Callithrix jacchus: one gene and its partner. The protein of the gene in region 1 interacts with the protein of each later gene in a pairwise test. Links are inferred from orthologs where the notes say so. Each region holds a gene or a part of one and is shown in the gene's direction. Other genes may lie near its edges.

What was found. The genes of interacting proteins can lie anywhere in the genome.
Region 2: the proteins of ESRRG (region 1) and NR0B1 interact in binary tests that used the Homo sapiens proteins (3 or more experiments, as listed by UniProt). The link is inferred for Callithrix jacchus from reciprocal best matches to the Homo sapiens genes ESRRG and NR0B1.

The regions. Positions count from the first base shown.
Region 1 is NC_133520.1:12,667,716-12,671,215, forward strand, and holds part of ESRRG (estrogen-related receptor gamma), read left to right. Parts: intron 1-3,305; coding exon 3,306-3,500. UniProt on the Homo sapiens protein: Orphan receptor that acts as a transcription activator in the absence of bound ligand. Binds specifically to an estrogen response element and activates reporter genes controlled by estrogen response elements.
Region 2 is NC_133524.1:31,194,502-31,198,742, reverse strand, and holds the start of NR0B1 (nuclear receptor subfamily 0 group B member 1), read left to right. Parts: upstream 1-1,441; 5' UTR 1,442-1,467; coding exon 1,468-2,635; intron 2,636-4,241. UniProt on the Homo sapiens protein: Nuclear receptor that lacks a DNA-binding domain and acts as a corepressor that inhibits the transcriptional activity of other nuclear receptors through heterodimeric interactions.

The DNA.
Region 1 (3,500 bases):
TCACAGAGTAAAATATTGGATGTTATGATAAGGTTCTATTTTATTATTAGGTGTTGAGACTTAATATAGAGGCCATTATATGTGTTGCCTCTATGTAATCAGAATAAAAAATACATATGTCACTTATTAAGCACCTATTTCAGGTGAACGTGGCCTCATTTTACCTCCCCAAACCCTGGAAGACAGGTGGCACTGGTAACATGTCAGTCTCAGGTTTAAATTCAGTCATAGACACTCTGGTTATCTTTTGAAATCTTGATTCTTTCAGAATAGTATTTGTTTGTCTTACTGTCTAATGCAGTAGTTCTCAATCCTGGCTTGGCAGTAGAACTACCTAGATTTTTCGCAATGCTGATATCCTAGTTCTGGTCTCTGACTTACTAGACTTGGGGCCAGTAACCAAGTTTTTTAAGACCTCACCCAGTGTTTCCTGTCTAGTTAGTTCATAAACTCATGATTGCTATTAAGTTTAGCTGGTTCCCATTAGCACAAACACTAGGACTATTTCCTTTAAAGCCTAGTTTAAAAGAAACTAGCACGAACTATGAAAACTAAATAATTACATACATTAATACCAGTTCTATTGAGCCTGGCATCAACATGTAAATTTAACCAAAAGAACAAAACAGAGATTAAAACCACAGATCCAGAACTTGAACTAGGATCCCTAATGGAGATTAATATTTTCTTCAGCAGTCTGCCAGCTGAATCATTGTCTAATTAAATAGTTCAGATTTAGTGAGTTTGCATTTAAAGTATTAGCAGATCTGAGAATGGGTAAAGCTAAAATGAGTTAGAATCTTTTCTGCAAATGGGAAGTTAAATTATCATAGTAATTTGATTAAATCATTTTTAAATCTCTCATGCTAAATCACAGCCTTTAAAGAATAGTTTGAAGTCTTAATTGCTGTTTGTGAGCATATCTCTCTGCTATTTGTTCTCGCCTCATTTCCCCTGACATCCTATAATATATCTCCTGCCGGGCAAGAGTAGTGGGAAAGGCAAGACTAGGGGTAGGTAACTGTGTAGCTGACTTCAAGCATTTAAAGATATGCCATGTAGGAAAAAGAAGTTTATCCCGTATTGTTCCTACTAGAACAGGACCACAGGATAGAATTTGGAGACATATTTAGGAAAATTTTAAAAAGACAATAATTAGTTTTGCCTGTTGTCAAGGAGAATCTACGTACTTAATATACGCCTGGCAATGTCTTCATTAGGAATGTTATAAAGATGGCTGATGAAGATGGGAGTTTGAATGGGATGTGTTTAGAGAACAGTCCATCTCATTTTTTAAGGGAATGCATGTTTAGTGTTCTGTATTCCAGCAGCATGATTGATTTGAAGAATCCTGAATTTAAACCTGAGACTGACATGTATTACCAGTGCCACCTGTCTTCTAGGGTTTGGGGAGGTAAAATGAGGCCATGTTCACCGGAAATAGGTGCTAAATAACTGGTAAATGTATTATTTTTATTCTGGTGTGTTTTAGTCTAGTTGGAAAATAGGTATTTCAAGGTTGACTTTTCACTGCAGTGTGTAATTCCCATTTTCTCCTTCCATCTATTCCTGTTTTCCTGTAGAGAGCTAATCATTAGACTCCGGATAAGTTGGGAAAGTCCAACTCATCTCTGCTCCCTCATGCACAAGGTCCTTATTGCAGTCTTTTGTCTACCTAAAGACTCGCCATAGTGATTCCCCATGCCCCCCATTTTTCCTTCAGGTAGCAATAAAGTGCAAAACTAGAGAGAAAGAATATCAGAGCATGTTGCCATCATCTCTATGACTGTGTTTTCTGTCCCTAACTTCACCAACTCTTAGACAACTTTAGAAATTATGTTTGTTTGTTTCTAAGAGCACTATAGGAGGTGGATGAGATTGCCATGCTGAGAGGAACCAGACTGGAGAGAAGCTGGGTAGAAACAATCCCCAGGGAAAGGCCAAGCGTATGTTGGGGAGTGACCTGAGTCTTGCTCCAGGGCACTACTATCAACACTATTTCCCACTTGGAAGAATTCCTTCCTTTTTGCTCTGCCAGGCAGAAATTGAGTGTTGAGCAATAAGCAACTTTATTCCAGATTATTCAAAAAATTTTTACGGAGTTGTCATTAAACTACCTATTGTGAATAGTGGTCAGTTCACCAACGATGTGACCACTAATGACTCAAATGCCAATGTAAAGGAAAAAAAAGAACATTGAATAAAATACAAATACATCTTTAAGATCTGTTCCTAGTTATATCCATCTCTCTTTTAATTACTTTGCCATATTTCTTATTATATGTTTAGCCACTTGATTTTAAATTACATTCCCTCTTTTTGTTCATGTGATCTATGTTTGAATTATATGAAAGATTAGGCTAACTACATATATCTTAGAGCTCAGCATTCTCAGAGAACTAGAATTATTAAACATGAAGAATCCCCCAAAGACTCCATTATGTGTAATTAACAGATAAACTGTCATCAGAATCAATAAAACGTGCTAAATGATTCAAACTTGTATATAATTAAGTGTCTGCTTTAGAGCTGGAGCTGTAACTTTTATTTTTTTCCCCACATCTCACATTTCTCACAAGAATAATTGTGGCAACCTTGTTAACCCTTTCTTTGCTTGATTGAATTAGATTTTCAAATTTGTCATTTAAGGGTAAAGTTCACCTTTACAAATGTGAAAAATATTTCAGAACTCAGTGATCTGAAGATACCATTTGTTTTTAATCAGGGAAGAAGACTATGTCAGGATGCTTTAATGAACTGATACTAGAACATTAAATATCTTAAAAGGATAAATAATTTATTGTGATTTCTGTATAGTGCTAGATTCCATGCATTCACATGGAGTTCTTAGGATCTTAGTCATCAACTTTTTTCCTCCTTTTTGGGAAATATTGGCTTTTTGCAAGCAATATCATAATTTTAAACAACCTTCCCCTACACAGCACTAAGGATAATACTTTTAATAGATGGCCTTCCATGGTTGTTTGTTGAGTGAATGAATATATACCTGGATGAGGCAATGAATAAAATAGTCAAGATTATAATATGTTAGAAGAAAGCCTTCTCTTGCTCAGCCTGAAGAGGAAAAATACACATTTTAAATAATTGATCTTTTCTAATAATTCCCATCTTCCACGTTAGTATTTGAAATTATGTAAGGAAATGTAGAAATAGGTTGTAGAAATGTGAGACTCTGAACAGATCAGTTTCAAACTTAGAAGTTCAAAAATAACTAATTTTGTAACTCTAGACTATATGGGTTTGTTATTAATGTGATGACTTATATCTTTTGCTTCATTGCGCAGACTCCATGCACATAGAAGATGTTGAAGCCGTTCAAAAGCTTCAGGATGTCTTACATGAGGCGCTACAGGATTATGAAGCTGGCCAGCACATGGAAGACCCTCGTCGAGCTGGCAAGATGCTGATGACACTGCCGCTCCTGAGGCAGACCTCTACCAAGGCCGTGCAGCATTTCTACAACATCAAACTAGAAGGCA
Region 2 (4,241 bases), on another chromosome or scaffold:
GGAGGAAAGAAGGAAGGAAAGAAGGAAGGAGGGAAGGAAGGAAAGAAGGAAGGAAGGAGGGAAGGAAGGAAGTAAATGAAAAACAAAAAAAGAAAAGAAAGAGGGAGGAAGGGATGGAGGGAAAAAGTAAAAGGGATTCTATACAAGCTGGAATATACCAATACCCTTCCCTGCCCCATGTCTTCACAGCTGTGTGGCAAGTGAAGACCAATGAATCCAGGCTTCCTCATGCTTGTACTTATCATTATTCACTTAGGAAGGGTGAGAAAAGAAATGCTAATTACACGTTTACCGAATTACTTTTACAAGAATCAAAATTTCTCACTGCAGTCAAGAAAAAGAATGAGATAGAGCTGGAGGCCATTATCCTTAGCAAAGTAACACAGGAACAGAAAAGCAAGTATCATATGCTCTCACTTATAAGTGGGAGCTAAGTAAAGAGATCACATGGACACTAGGAGGGGAACAACAGACACTGGGACCTACTTGAAGGTGGAGGGTGGGAGGAGGGAGAGAATGAGAAAAAATACTGGGTACTATGTTTAATACCTGGGTGACAAAATAATCTGTACACCAAACCCCCACAACAAGCAAAAATTGACATATAACAAACCCGCACATGTACCCCTGAACCTAAAAGTTAAGAGAAAAAAATTGTATTAAAATAAAAACAATTCTCACTGTGACAATATTATCCCCTTGTGATTATATTATGTTCCCAAGTTTTAGGCACTTTCATATCCTGTTCGCTGCCCCCAGCTCTCTTAACACAGCATCTAGGACATAGTGGGCGCTTATAAATACTGATGATATTAAACTGAGCGCTTATGATAGCATATTTAGACCAGTGCGTTTCAAATGTCAAGGTGCATGTGAATCCCTGGGGACATCGTTAAAATGCAGATTCAGAGTTAGAAGGTCTGGTTGGAGCCTGAAATTGGGCAATTCCACCGACTGCCCATATGATGCTAGTCTACGTTCTATATTTCTCAAGGTCTCAGAAAATGAGACCTCCCTATCCATATACAAAATATAAGTCACACAAACTGTGATCATTTAATGAAAGTTTACAAGGAGCATAGAAGTAGATGTTTCCTCTTTTAGGCACCCCTGCCCTCCCAAAAAAAGGAGATGCGAGGGTTCAACGGAAAGTGTTGCAACAGCGTCCAGGCGCTCACTCTCCCGCGGTCTTCCAGAGACAGGGAAAGGGGTAATGAGAGGAAGGAGGGAAGTGTCCAGGAGCTCCCACGCTGCTGTTCCTTTTTCATTTCCAGCTTTTAAGGAGCACCCGCCCCTTCGAACCACCGTGGTCACGGGCGAACACACCGGAGAGCAGCGCCGCGCCCCCCTGCCCGCCTCCGCGCCCTTGCCCAGACCGAGGCGGCCGACGCGCCTGCGTGCGCGCTAGGTATAAATAGGTCCCAGGCGGCAGCCACTGGGCAGAACTGGGCTGCGGCGCCGCGGGCCATGGCGGGCGAGGACCACCAGTGGCAGGGCAGCATCCTCTACAACATGCTTATGAGCGCGAAGCAAAGGCACGCGGCTCCTGAAGCTCCCGAGGCGCGGCTGGGGGATCAGTGCTGGGGCTGTTCGTGCGGCGATGAGCCCGGGGTGGGCAGAGAGGGGCTGCTGGGCGGGCGGAACGTGGCGCTCCTGTACCGCTGCTGCTTTTGCGGTAAAGACCACCCACGGCAGGGCAGCATCCTCTATAGCATGCTCACGAGCGCAAAGCAGACGTCCGCGGCACCGAAGGCGCCCGAGGCTAGGCTGGGTCCGTGCTGGGGCTGTTCCTGCGGCTCTGATCCTGGGGTGGGCAGAGAGGGGCTCCCGGGTGGGCGGCCCGTGGCGCTCCTGTACCGCTGCTGCTTTTGCGGTGAAGACCACCCGCGGCAGGGCAGCATCCTCTACAGCTTGCTCACGAGCGCAAAGCAAACGCACGTGGCTCCGGCAGCGCCCGAGGCACGGCCAGGGGGCGCATGGTGGGACCGCTCCTACTTTGCGCAGAGGCCAGGGGTTAGAGAGGGGCTATCAGGCAGGCAGGCCATGGCTCTTCTGTACCGCTGCTGCTTTTGTGGTGAAGACCATCCGCAGCAGGGTAGCTCCCTCTACAGCATGCCCACGAGCACAAATCAAATGCCCGCGGCTCTGGGGGAGCGGCCGGGGGCCACCTGGTGGGACATCTCCTGTGGTGCGCTGCGACCCGTGGTGCTCAAGAATCCACAGGTGGTCTGCGAGGCAGCCTCAGCGGGCCTGTTGAAGACGCTGCGCTTCGTCAAGTACTTGCCCTGCTTCCAGGTGCTGCCCCTGGACCAGCAGCTAGTGCTGGTGCGTAACTGCTGGGCACCCCTGCTCATGCTGGAGCTGGCCCAGGACCACCTGCAGTTCGAGACTGTGGAAACCTCAGAGCCCAGCATGCTTCAGAAGATCCTGACCACCAGGCGGCGTGAGACGGGGGGCGACGACCCACTGCCCATTTCCACGCTTCAGCCTCGTTTGGCACCGCCGGCGGAGGCCAGGCAGGTGCCTTCCGCCTCCCAGGTCCAAGCCATCAAGTGCTTTCTTACCAAGTGTTGGAGTCTGGAAATCAGTACCAAGGAGTACGCCTACCTCAAGGGGACCGTGCTCTTTAACCCGGGTAAGGGTACTGGCCTTGGGCGCCGGCTTTTCCCACCTCACAAAAGCATCGGGCAGTGCCTATCTAGGGGTGCAGGCAATAAGGAGATTTCAGTGATCAGGAGAGTGTCGGGGCAAAGGTGAAGAAATCATGACTAATTCAGCAGAGTTGGGGTGGGGGGCTCCAGGAACCGCTTCTTTTTGGTGGGATGCGGTCAGAAACTCAGCGGAGAGGAGGGAAGTTGTTTAGGTTTGTACTTAGCTCTCGACACATTTCTTACAATAGAAAGGTTTGTGTCTTCATGGGAAATGGTTATTCTTTCTTCTCTAGTTTTCTTTTAAGTCTAGAGCATATCTTTTTTTTTTTTTTTTAAGCTTTTGCTCACTGAAGATTCTGCAACATCTATTTCTGAAACCCCATTCTGAAATTTACTAGAACCTCTTTTGGGGGGAGGAAATCTATTAAGGCTAGCGAAAAAGGAAACATTTGTTAAAAGGTCCCATAGAGACACCATTCTCTAGGGACACTGTCAGGCAGGACACTGAATGTAGTGTTTCATGGGCCTGCCTCTGAATGGTTATTTGTATGGTCCTAAGCATCTGGACTATCCCTTCCTCCAAATTTCTGTGAATAATATCAGGTTGGTAAGGGGATAGGGGAAAAAAAGACACATTAGGGACTGAGAGCAGGAGCACTGTATTTTAGAATTCAAAGAGACCTTAGAGACCTCCTAATCAACCCCCTTTTCTCTGTAGCCTTCCCCCACCCCATTTTACTGAGTAGGTAGTTGGGTCCCAAGGTTCCAAGTGACCTTACTCCGGAGTAAATGGCTGGTGTGTTGTGGAACCTGAGGGTCCTATCTTCTGGGCCCAATGGGATGTCGGCTGCACCAAGCTTTCAGGCTGTCTGTTGGGTGCTAGACACACTGTCCCACAGAATGCAACCAAAATCATTGGAGGAACGTCTCCCTGGACAGCCAGGCATCTTGTCTTGGGTGTTTCTCGCTACTAGAATCTTCAACCAACATCTTTTCAAATGATTGAAGTGGGAACAAAATTTTCCAGGCAACTTGAGTGGGGCTAGTTTTTATAATGCTCCTTCTGTATCTTTTTTCCCTGATGCTGGAGTCTGTGATTATGTTCCTGCCCCCTGCCTAGCATTTTTGAAGGTGTATAGATAAGTATTTGGTGGGATAATAATTCATTCAAACTTCACTTTTCATGACATAGAGACCTCAGCTCACCCCAGTGACTATTACAGATTATCTTTTTGCTTATACCATTGTTTTCCAAACTTGCCTGTGCATAATGAGTACTTGTGTGTGTGGCTGGGGGTGGGAGGCAATAGATGAAAGTCTTTCCAGGCTCCTGCCTTATAGATTCTGATTCACTAGCTTTGGCCCAGGGTCTGCAAATCTGCATTCATAATAAGTGTCCCAGATGATTCTTAAGATAATTTAGAAAACAGTCTCCATACTCCTTCAGCCATTTTTAATCATCCACTGCGTTCCTTGTCCTGTTGGGATATAAAGGTGACAGGGGCTCAGCTTCCAGAAATTTACACTCCAATGGTCTCAGTATCAATACTTTCCCTCTTTTCTTTCCCTGTTTTATATAATTCACACACA